Sus scrofa: one gene and its partner. The protein of the gene in region 2 interacts with the protein of the main gene of each other region in a pairwise test. Links are inferred from orthologs where the notes say so. Each region holds a gene or a part of one and is shown on either strand. Other genes may lie near its edges.

Region 1 (7,006 bases), on a different chromosome or scaffold from region 2:
AAGGGCTGAGGGTTGGGGGAGTGACTGCTATTGGTTCTATGGTTTTCTTCCGGGTGACAAAAAAGGTTTTAGAACTAGATAGAGGTAGTTGCACAATGTGGTGAATGTTACTAAATGCCACTGAATTGTACACTTTGTTTTTTTTTTATTTTTTTAGGGCCGCACCTGTAGCTCATGGAAGTTCCTGGGCTAGGGGGATTGAATTGGAGCTGCAGCTGCCAGCCTGCGCCACGGCCACAGTGGATTTGAGCCTCGTCTGTGACCTGTGCCACAGCTTGTGGCAATGCCAGATCCTTAACCCACTCAGCAGGGGCAGGGATCAAACCTGCATCTTCATGGATACTAGTCATGTTCTTAACTCTCTGAGCCATAATAGGAACTCCCCAATCATACACTTTATTTAAAAAAAATATATATATATTTTTTGTTTTGCTTTTTAGGGCCTCACCTGCAGCACATGGAAGTTCCCAGGCTAGGGGTTGAATCGGAGCTACAGCTGCTGGCCTATGCCACAGCCACAGCAACATGGGATCTGAGCTGTGTCTGTGACCTACACCCCAGCTCATGGCAATGCCAGATCCTTAATCCACTGAGCAAGGCCAGGGATCAAATCCGCATCCTCATGGACACTAGCTGGGTTTGTTACCGTTAAACCACAACGGGAACTCCCCCAATCATATACTTTAATTTGTTAATTTTATGTTAGGTGAATTTCACGTCATTTTTTAAAGAAAGAAAGAAAGGGAAAAGCAACAGCTCCCTGGGTGATTTTCAGCAGAGTTTGAGACCCACTGTACTAAAAGAACAGGATCCGGAGTTGGAAAATACCTTAGAGCTTGGAGTTGGGGGAAGGATGGAGAGTAGACTTTCAGGAGGTAGAAGGAGCTGCTCTGGGGACCTCTGCCCTTCACCTAAAGACCACAAGAGAAACCCGATGGGCACAGCCTGTCTACTCACCATCCTGGGAACTGCCTACTTGCTCCTTGCCTTCGACACGGCCAATGTGAAAAGACGATGTGACACTGATGGTGCAGTGTTGATCCTGGAGGGCCTGGCAGGTGGTCCACAGCTTCCCTGTGAAGATGGGGTGGGCTGTGTGTGGTGGTGGAGGCTTGGCGCACCCTCCCCCCAGGCGTAGGAGGCACCCAAGGAGCAGCGTTTGGAAAGGGAGTGTCCTGTCCACCAACATATATTTCCCAGCTGACACTTCACGCCCCTCCAAGGCCGCCATCATTACTCTCCTGGACTGGTATGGGTCATCTCCTCCCTGGGCTCTTGGCTCTGCCCTTGACTCTCAAGGTCTGGTCTTCTCATAGGGTCCGGAAGGATCTCTTAATATAAATCAGAAATATCAGCTCCTGCTTAAAGCCCTCCAGTGATTCCTATGGTTTTGAGAATCAAACCAAATCCTTCCCATGGTCTGTGGGGCCCCTGCTTGCCTCTCCAAGCCCACCTCTTACCCCTCTCCCTCGTTCACTCTGTTCCAGTCATGCTGACTTACTGGCTACCTTCAAAGGCTCAGCAGGTGCAGGCCCACTACCTCAGAATTGTCTCAGCTCAAACATCACCTTTATGAGAAGCTTCAACTGACCAACTGATCTGAAGTCATATCACCCTGTCTTCTTACTTGTCTGTAGTCTATAGACTGTGACCAGACAGATAAGCCCTCCACCAGGTCACACTGCTTCATCTCCGGCACCCAAGACATCTCCTAATAAATGCTGTCTTCAAGAACCACTGCTAACTGACTGAGGTTCCCTAAGAATCAGTGTGGGTGACACAGTTACCAAGTGCAGGCCTCCTTTAACTGGGGGTGGGGAGACATCCACCCTCCCTGCCCATTTGGAGGGGAGACTTTCAGGTCAAATAAAAAGAAGTTCAATTGACACTAAAGAAAGACACTGAGGGACTCAAGTGTATTCCAGAATAGGGATTGGCACATATTCTCCATCAAGGGCCAGAATATCTGTTCCAACGACTCAACTCTGGTCATAGCTAGAAAATAGCCATGGATGATATGCAAATGAATGGGTGTGGCCACATCCCCACAAAAACTATGGACACTGAAATTTGAATTTTACATGATTGTCACAAAATATTACTCTCTTTTTGATTTTTTTTTTTTTTTTTTTTTTTGGCTTTCCAGGGCTGCACTTGTGGCACATGGAGGTTCCCAGACTAGGGGTCAAATTAGAGCAGCTGCAGCTGCTGGCCTACACCACAGTCACAGCAACACCAGATCCAGGCCACATCTTCGACATACACTATGACTCATGGTAGTGCTGAATGAGGCCAGATGGAAGCTGCATCCTCCTGGATACTAGTTGGGTTCGTAACCCACTGAGCCATAATGGGAACTCCTTTATTTTTTTCCCCAACCATAACAAGTTAAAACCATTCTTTGGTGGGAGGCTGCACAAAATCAGGCAGTGTCCTGACTTTGGCCTGTGGGTATAGTTTGCTGCCTAATGCACTGGAGTCAGGAAGTATCTACTTGTTTCTGCCAATTCAGCTGTGGGCTCTCTAACAGTTTCTGTGGGACACATGCTGCACTGAGTCTGACATCACTGCCTTGTTTACTCTGTATTATGTTACTATTTTCTCCAGTTGATGAATGAGGATGTGGGAGCTTGCCCAGAGTCAGAAGCTGATGGGAAACCAGCGAGCGCCAGGGTGCAAAGCCCCGGTTATAAAGTGTTCCACCATCCCCTGGAAACTCTCTCCACCTTGGACCCTCTATCTGGAAAGTGTGCCCCTGTACCAGATTTTCCTAAAGTCACTCCCAAACTGAAAATGCATTTTTTTTTTTTTTTTTTGTCTTTTTTAGGGCCTCACCCATGGCATATGGGAGTTCCCAGGCTAGGGGTCAAATTGGAGCTGCATCTGGTGGCCAATGCTATAGTTACAGCAACTTGGCATCAGAGCCATGTCTGTGACGTACACCACAGCTCACGGCAATGCCAGGTCCTTTAGCCCACCAAGCAAGGGCAAGGATCAAACCTGTGTCTTCATGGATACTAATCAGGATTGTTACTGCTGAGCCATGATGGCAACTCCACAAACTAAAACTGTTTTTGCCAACAAAAGAGCTAAGTGCCCACCCAGGTTCTGGGGGCACAATTCCCTGGGCTTAAATCCCAGCTCCACTCCTCACTGGCTGGGTAACCTCAGCCCAAGTCTGAGCCTCCCTGAGCTTGTATTTCCTCACCTGCAAAGAGGGATAACAGCAAGAGGACTGACTTTCTGGAGTTGCTGTAAATGAAATAACAACGGGTAGTGATTGCACAGATAAGTTCTCCATTTCAGGAGTTTTCGATGGTTTTATTACCCCAGCGAGTGGTACAAGTGGGACCATTGCCTGGATGTATAGAAATCTCTGGTCCTTGGTGAAAGAATAAGCCCAATAAGCCCATTGGCTCAGGGCATAGTGTTTGGGCTTGGATGCTGACTCTGCTGCTTGCTAGGGGCTTAACTTGGGGCAAACTGCTTCTCTCTCTCTGAGCCTCAGTTTTCTCATTTGCAAAATGGGGTTTATAAAAATATCAACTTGATAAGGCTGCCGTCAAGACTCAGTAAGTTAAATAAAGTACTTAAAAGAGCTCCTCACGCCAAATTAAACGTTGGTAGTTTTGATTATTTCTCACACCAAATCGTTTAACAAGCATCATTTTACAAAATCTTCATCATGGCCCAGGGAGGTAGGGGCTTACTGTCCCATTTTCCCGATGAGGAAAACCTGACTAGGTATAATACGGGCCAGGCTCGGATTTGGGTCTGGGGTCGCGGCCAGGGCCCAGGGTCAGGGGTCGAGTCTGGGACGCGGGCCGGTTTCGAGTACTGGGTCCACGTTCGCAGAGCCCCTCTGCTCCCCGCAGGATGGCCCCAACTCCGCTGCTCCGAGACCGAATGAAAGGACAGACCCCCGGCCCTTACCGGGCCTGCCCGCCCCTCCGTCCTACCGCACTTACCTGCCCTCCTCCTGACGTCACGCCGCGCCCGTCCCGGAAGTCCCTGCTCAGTGCATAAGGGGGAGTGGTGAACTCCTCGCGCGACAGGGACGCCTGCGCGAGGCGGGGCGAGGCGGCAGGTCCTCGCTGATTGGCTAAGTGTTGAACAGCCTCTCCCTTTCAGCCGCCGGAGTGGACCAATCCGGGGCCTGCCCTTCCCAAATTCGCGCCCTACACGAAGCCCCACCTTCGGCCCCGCCCACTTTCCCTGACGCAATCCAAGGCCCGCCTTTCTGACAGCGCTCTCCCGGGCGCGCGGTTCGCAATAGAAGAGGCGGTGGAGTTGGAGTGGGTGAACTCCAGCTTCCCTCTAAATCAATCCAGCCCTTAGTTTTTTTTTTTTTTTTTTTTTTTTTTTTTTTTTTTTGTCTTTTTGCTATTTCTTTGGGGCCGCTCCCACGGCATATGGAAGTTCCCAGGCTAGGGGTCGAATCGGAGCTGTAGCCACCGGCCTGCGCCAGAGCCACAGCAACGCGGGATCCGAGCCGCGTCTGCAACCTACACCACAGCTCACGGCAATGCCAGATCCTTAACCCACCCAGCAAGGGCAGGGACCGAACCCGCAACCTCATGGTTCCTAGTCGGATTCGTTAACCACTGCGCCACGACGGGAACTCCTGGCCCTTAGTTTTTTAGTGACTAGCGAGTTAAGACTTGTTTTCCCATTTTTAAATGGTTTGGGGGAAAACGAAAAGAATAACATGAGTTTGTGAAAATGATAAGTTCAAATTTTAGTGCCTGTATTAAGATTTTATTGAAATACACCTGTGCCAATTGTTTATGTCTATGGCTGCTTTTCCACTCAATGACAGAGTTGAATGGTTGCAACAGAGAGCCTATGTCCCATGGAGCCTAAAAATATACTATCTGTCCTTTTTCAGAAGTGGATCACCTCTTGCCTTAGAGCCTTCAGACCAGCTTGGTTGTGAACAGGGCAGTGGCTTTTGATTCTGTGCTTTGTAGAATCAAACAGAATCTGTTTCATCATTTGTTCTTCAACAGCTGTTTACTAGGTGCCTGCTATATGTTAGGCCACAGAAATTCAAGAGCAAAGGATATACTCTTTTTTTCACTGATGAGGCAGGCGGTGAACTGGCAATTTATCAAGGACAGTGTGAGAAATGATGACAATACTACTACTGTTGTTACTATTACTATATTATTCGGTGCCAGGCCCTAATAAGATTGTCAGTTCTCCTGTAATCATGGTGCTGCATATGGAGTGCTCACTACTCACCAGGCGTCATTAACCAGTGCTCACTACTCACATGCATTGTCTCACAGAACGCTGTTCCTAGGAGAAGGATATACTCCAGCATTCCATTTTACTGATGAGATAGGCTCAGAGAGGTCAAGCAAATGATCCAAGGTCACACAGCTATTGAGAGTGGAGGATTTGACCTCCATCCACTGATGCAAAACTTTGTTCCCGTAACATCTGATCTACGCTGCTTTGGGTTGTATGCATTAAACATAAGGGCTGTGGGAACCAGGAAGAATCTTTTTTTTTTTTTGGTCTTTTCTAGGGCCACTCCCACAGCATATGGAGGTTCCCAGGTTAGGGGTCTAATCAGAGCTGTTGCCGCCAGGCTACACCAGAGCCACAGCAACGCGGGATCCGAGCCGCATCTGCAACCTACACCACAGCTCACGGCAACACCAGATCTTTAACCCACTGAGAAAGTCCAGGGATCGAACCCGTAACCACTGTGCCACAATGGGAACTCCTTTTTTTTTTTTTTTTTTTTTGGTAAGAATCTTTAACAAGGGTGGTGTTTTGGGGAGTGGTCAAGGAGTGAGGGTCAGCAAGACCCTTGTGAGGGGTGACTCTTGGGCTGGATGAGGCAGAGCAAGGCAGGGGTGGGAGGCAAGCCAGAGGAATGCCCACAGGTTCTGAGGAACAAGCTGGGATCTGCACTCACCCTCATTCATCTTGCTTGCTTCATCTGGGTTTTGCTCGAGTCCTTATCCTGCAACTGAAAGAAGAGCTAGTGACTGAAGAACTACAAAATACCACCTTGTGAGTAATGTTTTGGGGAGGAGAAGTCTGAGAACCCTTGGCTTTCAAGGGACAAGTAGTAAGAGCCTCACTCTTATTACTCACAGGGCAGGTGATGGGAACAAACATCAGCCTGAGCTATGAAGAGACCATCTATGAAGATGCCAAGAGCAAGCCAGTTCCTGTGGGGAATTAGCCAGGAGGGCAATGAACCAGGCTGGGCAGAGTGGCAGGAAGGGACCTGGACTCTATCTCTGGAGACACTGACCAAATCACCTCACCTCTGTTTGCTCATCTGTAAAGAGGGATATCTTTCTTTTGCCCATGGGAATGAAAACATGCCTACAAATGTATTTGTAAAACAGATGGAATGGGAAGAGAGAAACCTTGGGCCAGGAAGGGCGTTCCAAGATCATGGTGTGGCTTTTGGGGATAGGAGAAGAATGACTGAAGAGGAAGTAAACTCTAAAACTGAAACCCAGATGTCCCCAGGTGGCACAGTGGGTTAAGGATCTGGCATTCCTGCAGTTATGGCTGCAGGTTGCAACTGTGGCGTGGGTTCAGCCTCTGGCCTGGGAACGCTCACATGCTGCGAGTGTGGACTTCGAGAGCCACGGAGAATGGACCCCTCTTCCACATGCCAGCCCTCCAGCTCCCTCCCACCTCTAAGAGTCTGTGGTTTGATCCTACCTCTGTCTTCATTCCCCAATCACCGACCAGCTCAGAAAGCAGGCCCAATAAGTTACACATTTTATATTTAACCTGTGGCTGTGACCAAAACCATTTGGGGTACCTGCCTAGATCCCACCCCTCCCTTTGTGTGAAAATATCCAACCTCCAGGGGGCGCTGAAGCATTTGTATTTATGGCCCAACCTTGTCTGCAACTGATTGGATCTGGCTATAGATTTAACCCAAACCGGCCCAATGAGGTTTGCTCCTGGAAATTTAGAGTTGCGATCAAGACAGGCACGGGAATCTGCTTGAGGACCGATCTGAGGT
Region 2 (6,920 bases):
GTGATTATTTCTGAAATGAGCAAAACAAAACACTTCACAGCCAAGATTATACTAAAAGGAGAATATAGGAAGGGTCCTGTCAAGAAGAAGCTGAAGGTAAGCTGGGAGCATCCTATGTTAATTCAGGACAAGACAGGTACAAATTCAATGCACCTTTAATAACCAAATGTCTTCCTGTAAAAGCAGCTTGCCAAATTTGGTATTTGTCATGTACTCAAGATGAACTATTACTTCTAAGCCTCAGCTAGTTGTGTCCAGTGAAAGAACAGCCTAAATTACCACCCTGAGGTACCATCACCACCTGTAGGCAGGCACTGGTATGACTTTCCTGAAACTTCAAGCTTTGAAGAATAAACAGTTACTAAAGGGTGAGCAGCAATGCTCAGAAAAGTTGTCAACAGTAAGCAAGTCTATAATAAATGATTAGGAAAGGGATGATCAGGGGCCCAGGAACTTCGGCATGCTGCTTAGGGTGGCAAAAAAAAAGAAAGGGAGGAAGGGAGGGAGGGAGAAAGGGATAGTCAGGAAAGAAGGCTGAGAGAGACAATGAGGAGTTACAGGGAATTAGTGAGGTCTGAAGACCTTGAATGGAGGTCTTCAGAGAGAGAATTGAGCTCCCAAGTGTGGTAGAGACCAGACAGCTAAAGCGAGGCTATTTAAAAAGAGGTGGGAATTATTATTACTATTATTTTAAATGGCCACATCTGCAGATATGGAAATTCTCAGGCTAAGGATCAAATCACAACCACAACTGCAACTGCCGGCCTACACCACAGCCAAGGCAACGCTGGATCCTTAATCCACTGAGTGAGGCCAGGGATCAAACCTGCATCCTCGAGGATATTAGTTGGCTTCTTCACCAAATGAGCCATAAATGAAACTGGGAATTTTTCTAAAGTTCAGGCAGGGGAGAAGTTTTCCACCTAGGAAGATGCCACCTCCAACATCCAAGGAGAGCAATTCCTAAACTAGACTGCACAGAAGAATGTCCCATAGAAGATGTAAAACTGCAGATTCTCAGCAAACTTCAGCCCCACCTCAGAAGTTCTGATTCCCAAGCACTGTGCCCCTCAGAGATGAGCCTACTCAGAGCTCACTCTGAGGCATGCTAGCATTGTCTCCTCAGGGAATGATTCCCAAATAGTCTCAAACAAAATTTCATTTTAATTTATGTAATTATGAAAAAGAAATCCAGCAGTTTTAGGAATATATGGGGTTGTGTCAAAAATAAATAAGTATGTGGCATTAACTGCCAAGATATTGGGAAAGACTAGCCTCGACGAATTATGACCTTTCTATTTAATTTTTCTGTACTTAAAGCATATTATAGCTGGAAGGCAATTTTTCGTTTAAATATTTAGAACAGGTGAAGAATTCTACCCAGGCATCATTTCTACAAAAGAAGCTTCTTAGGGGAAAAAAAATGACTCCAGATAGGATTTGGGGGGAAAAAAACCCAAAAACTAAAAATTCAGAAAAAAACCTTAGTGATAAACAACAAACCAAAAAATTAGATTTGAAGAAGTTATCAGGAGGACTAGGCAGGAGAGTGAAAGGATGTGAAACAGACGGCAAAAAAAAGCAATACTGCATGCAAAATGGAAAGATCTGGTCTACAGGTGGGTGCTGGCTCAGAGTAAGGCAAATGTTAGCCTGAAATGGGCGGGTCTTCAAAGAAACAGGGAGAAGAGAAAAAGGCTGATGATGATGTTAATGTTGAGGAATTAAAGACTAAGGTAAGAAAACCAACTGCTATTAGAAAAGAATCAGTCCTATAGTGTGTCTATGTCTAAACCATCAGGTTAAGGTGATTATCCTCCCATCCCCATAAGAATAAGCAGAGTTCTGGACCAAAGGCCCCACTCCCTTTCACCCTCCAGCCCACAAGGAGGTCCTCACCACAGTGCCTTAAGGAGTGGAGCTCCCAGGATGCCCACTTGAGCTGGTTTTCCACAGCATCAAGCTCAGAACTTGGTAATCCCTGAGCTTCTTCTTGAGATACAATCTCCTCTACTAGCACGTCCCGTTTTCGTCGCCGAAGAGAAACCTGGAAATAACAGGACTGGTTCAAATGAGAAGGAATCTGTTGAGAATCAAAAACACACACACAAAAGCAACCACACGAAACATATGCTGCAGAGGCCTAGATGACAAAGCAGCATAAATAATGGGGGGCAGGTGGAGGCATAAACAGAATTCTAACTTAGCTGAGTGGCATTAAATCAGCAGCTGCGCCTACTGCCATGTCAGGGCTCCTGACCCAGGAATGCAACACAAGCGGGCTTACCGGCTGTCCAGGGTCATCTAGCTCACTCTCTAAATCCTCTAGAACGGTCACTGCCTCCTCTCCATTCTCTGGATGATGCTCTCGAACCCAAGTCTGTAGCTCCTTGGGCAGGATGGCAACAAACTGCTCCAGTACTACCAGCTCCAAGATTTGTTCTTTTGTGTGTGTCTCTGGCCTGAGCCATAGACGGCAAAGTTCTCGAAGCTGGCTCACAGCTTCACGGGGCCCAGGTGAATCCTGGTATCCAAACTGCCTGAAGCGCTGTCGGAAAACCTCCGGGTCAGGGAGGTGGTTCCAAGGGATACTTGACCCCTCTTCGCCATCAGGATCCTCCTCCAACTTCACCCTCAGAATTTTTTCCTCTTCATCTGGAGTTGGGATGATAAGTATTGAATCTTCTTCCACTGACTGTGCAGACATCCTGATTTATAATACTCCAAGAAAAGACAATCAAGGTAGGAGACAGGCCTCAGGGAAATACCCTGTTTTCTTCACAGGCACTCCTGAGGCACAAGAAATGAAAACAATATAAATGACCAAATATCCTAAGAATCTGAACATACCCTGATAGAAGAAAAGAAAATGTATTTTTACTAAATTAAACATGCCAATCAATAGCCTACAACAGAAGTTCCAGTTCACTGCTAAATCTGGCCCACTGCCTATTTTTCAATAATGCTTGCACTGAGAATAGTTTTCACATTTTTATATGGTTGAAAAAAATCAAAAGAACACTTCATGTCAGGTGAATATTGATAGAAATGAAAGTGTCTGTCTCCATAAATAATTTTACTTATTTGTTCACTATTGATGCTACAACAGCGTGACTACTGTACTCTACTCAATAGAGTTGAGTAGTTGCAATAAATGCTACATGTCATGAAAAACTTAATATTTACCATCTGGCCCTTTTGAGAGAAGTATGCCAATCTATGTCTACAAAACTTGCCTATCTCGGTGTTATCTAAATGGAACACATTATTTGCAATTCAATACCGGTGTAACCTGACACACCTGAGTCACCTCAAAAGGAGGGGTATCTTTTTTAGCACCTGCTTAAAAAATTTTGACAATTTTTTTTTTTCAGGGCTAAGAAATAGTTTTAAAATGTTTAAGAACTCCCTGGACTAAAATATACATGAAAAAAATATTCACCTGCTCAATAACAGATACATGATGTTGAAAAAAACCACTAGGTGCCATAAAATTCAAATATTATTCAGTCACCCGAGACACCATAAGTACCTTTCAATTTGTAATGTGGGCATTAATCATAGCAAATTCTATGAAGAAAAGGGACTCTCATAACACCTTGACTTCCCACAGTGGCGCAGACTCTAATCCTTACACTGGATGACTCACAATCTCCCCAGCTTCTACCTTCAGGGAAACCTTGGGCTATTTCTGATCCTTTCCTTAGTATTTGCACAGTCATGCCTATGCCATTGTTTAAAACACCTACTGGGAACAAGCCATGCAGTTACTCAATATTATCTATTCAGGGCCCGGAATCTGAAAGTCAGTAACTGCCCAAAACTTCCTGTAAACCTATCAAGTCTAGGTATCAGAAAAAAATCTTACCAAGTAATATACATACAGGTTTGTTTAAGCACTCTGGAGTGTGGCGGCCTTATAAACAAGGTTTAGCCAACAGTATTCGTTTGTTCCTATTCCAAAACCCTACCTTACCATTGGCTCAAACACTCTAGAAAAATAAAATTTCTCTCCCCTTTACGTTTTCATACAGCACCCTGCCGATGGGACGTGAGGAGGTGCGGGGAATGCGAACCCGCAGTCCCAACCAGGTTTGCGCAGGGAGTCCTGTCCCACGCGACCTTCCCACTCACTCAGCGGAGTGCCGTGGCGAACCCGGCCCCCACCAGACCACTCCAGCCCCTCTTCTCTCCACACTCCCGGCTGCGGCTTTCGGAAGACCAGAGGCCACCTAGCCTCAACAGCGCCGGAGTCACGGCACTTCCGCTCGAGGCCGGCCAAACTACAAGTCCCGGCAGCCACGGCGGAGGACCGCCCACCCCCCTCCACCCGAAAAGAATCCCAGAACCCTCCGCGAGATGCCAGGGCCTCGAAATAGAACAAAACCGGCCGATGGGGGAGGGGGGAAGGCGGGGGTCGCGGAAGGCACAAGGAAGGGAGGACTCTCCAAGGGTGCCGAAAGCCCTATCTGGCTTTCTGTCTATCCCTCCCTGTCTCCCAGCTGCTGGGCGCTGAGACCGTGGCCTGTCCCCCGCGCCTCCCGGGAAGCCAAGGAAGGTCACCGCCAAGCTTTTTCGCTAACTCTTGCCAAGCGGACCACAGCCTCTAGCCCAGCCTCCCTCGCACGCTCTTCCCCCCTCTCTCGCGCAAACCTCAAGCTCGGGAACTGCAACCGCTTCGCTGTCCACGGCCGACGCAGAAACGCCGCCGCTCACAAGCCGTTTCCCAGAAGCCCCCGGCGCAGACTGCTTCCGGTCTGTGGGCCCCAGGAGGCGGGGGGTAGGCGAAGCCCCGCGTTGCCATAGAGATGCGCTCCGGGCTGGGGGAAGGGCTGTCCAACTACAATGACCGCTTTGAGGCTGCGCTTGGCCTCACGCCTCTCTCCCCTGGTTAGCCCAGTCTTCTGTGTTCCCCTTAAAAGACCAGGAAAGGAAAGAAAAAATTCTGCCACTAATGTAGTCTTTACGGTGTCATAAGTCTTTTCACATGCATTATCTCATGTGATCTTCACAGTAATCCTCTGAAAGAAGTAACAAAAGCTAATATTTATGTGTGCTAACCACGTTGTACCAGGTTCTGTCACCGTGGTTTACATGTCTTGTAATTTAATTTTCGTGAAAACCCTATGATGTAAGAACTTTTATTATCCCCATTTCACAGCTGAGGTAATTGAGGCTCAAGTAAATAGCTTGCGGAGAATACATAACTAGTAAGTACGAAGCAAGATTTGAAGCCAAGGCATGACTCTAACCTTTGGCTACCATTTGCTGTGCTATAGAGCTTTATTATGACTAATTAATTTGTCAGGGAAACAAGATGAGACTCTTAATCAAGAGCTTTGGCAATGATCGCAGAGTGAATTTGCAGAATGCATGGTTATCTTCTGACTTTAGGCTTGACATTTCATACTACAAAACAGCTGCCAAAGTGATTTAAAAACATAAATCAGACCACTTAATGCCCCTACTTAAAGGCCTTCAGTGGATCCCTACTGCATTAATTATGACATTAAAAACTGCTTACATTGGCCTGTAAGGCCCCCTGTGGTTTTTCCCTGCCCCCACCTTACCCCCACACCCCAGCTCTTAGCCTTGTTGTGGCTGGCAATCGTCAGCCTTCCTGACCATTTCTTCCTCCTGGAAGCCTTCTCACGCTCATAGCACTGGGTAGAAGTGATCTTATGTATTCATTTCACTGGTTTTTGTTTTATTTCGTTTTGTTTGTAAGTCCCATAAGGGCAGGGACCTTGCCTGTCTTGTTCACCACAGTATTCCCATGTAGTCCCGGGATGCTGACTGCCTGGTACATAGAGAACTCAATAAATATTTGTTGAATAAATGAATGAAATGTGGGCTGGTCACATTGCTGCCTTTGCTAGGTCACATGTTCAGCATCAGGAACCACACAAAAGAGCCCTGTTGTTTAAGGTCTATGTTAGAAGTACAGGTCCAGCCTTCCAGCAGCCTTCCAAGATCTTCAGGCTTCAGCTTTCTGCCTCTTTCAGAGTGCCCTTTGCAAAGTGCCCTTAGGCTCTGCTGAATTCATGAATGAGAGCGCAAGTGAGTCAGCTGATGATCCCATAGCACTACTTTACTCTCTGACCAGGATTTTGCCTCCCCAGAACACCTGCTACTTCTGATGGCCCTTCTTCTCTTTCTTTTTTAGGAGGTTTCTGAAATCCAGACTTTTTTTTTTTTTCTCTTTTCTACTTGGCTACTACCACCAACCTGCTTGGCTGCTCTTCCCAACCTTTCCGTCTTTTGTGACTCTAAAAGCTAGCTCAAGGCATTTTTGTTTTGCTTTGCTTTAAGAGGTTTTTTAACATCTAATTAATGTTGGAAAACAAAAAATATACACATCAAACAGACATATCTGGGGAGGTTAAAAATGCAAGATTTTACGAAACTCTTTGCCTGGTGTTCATTCTGTCACTTTTAATTTTTTTCTGAGAGAGTAAATGGAAACCACCATGAAGTTTTCCTCTCTAATTTGCTCGTTTGAGGGCCGGGACTGCCAACACCCACTTTGAAACACCATCCTTCTGAGCCCTACTAGGTGAGCTCTTTCCTGAATGGTGACCTCTGTTGCTATCTTAAAGATATAGTCAAGATAGAGCATCATGTTCCTCTGGGCAACCTGAATGTAGGGAAAACCTCCGTGCCAGTGCCTGCTGACCTTGCACATATCCACAGAGGCCACAGAGACAATGCTTGAGCAGCAGCTGCTCTGAGTCTTGGCAGAAAACCCTGTGATCCTCCTGAAAGAGGAGAGGCTCCTGATGAGCTGTTACAAGGCCATTTGCCACTCAGCTCCCTGTCTTCCCAGGAGGCTGTCGTGGAACCATTGCTCCTGGCTTCCCCAGGTTGTGATGAGGCTTTCTGCCTCACCTGCCTGGAGTCCAGCTGCAGACTATATAAAG

The links.
Region 1: the proteins of ZNF24 (region 2) and CCDC130 interact in binary tests that used the Homo sapiens proteins (3 or more experiments, as listed by UniProt). The two-hybrid records come from large-scale screens. The link is inferred for Sus scrofa from reciprocal best matches to the Homo sapiens genes ZNF24 and YJU2B.

The regions. Positions count from the first base shown.
Region 1 is NC_010444.4:65,368,091-65,375,096, forward strand, and holds the start of CCDC130 (coiled-coil domain-containing protein 130), read right to left. Parts: upstream 4,031-7,006; 5' UTR 3,969-4,030; intron 3,253-3,968; exon of another isoform or gene 3,209-3,252; intron 1,332-3,208; exon of another isoform or gene 1,075-1,331; 5' UTR 961-1,074; coding exon 958-960; intron 1-957. UniProt on the Homo sapiens protein: May be involved in mRNA splicing.
Region 2 is NC_010448.4:119,162,460-119,169,379, forward strand, and holds the start of ZNF24 (zinc finger protein 24), read right to left. Parts: upstream 4,746-6,920; 5' UTR 4,654-4,745; intron 2,796-4,653; exon of another isoform or gene 2,791-2,795; 5' UTR 2,708-2,790; coding exon 2,288-2,707; intron 2,048-2,287; coding exon 1,900-2,047; intron 1-1,899. UniProt on the Homo sapiens protein: Transcription factor required for myelination of differentiated oligodendrocytes. Required for the conversion of oligodendrocytes from the premyelinating to the myelinating state.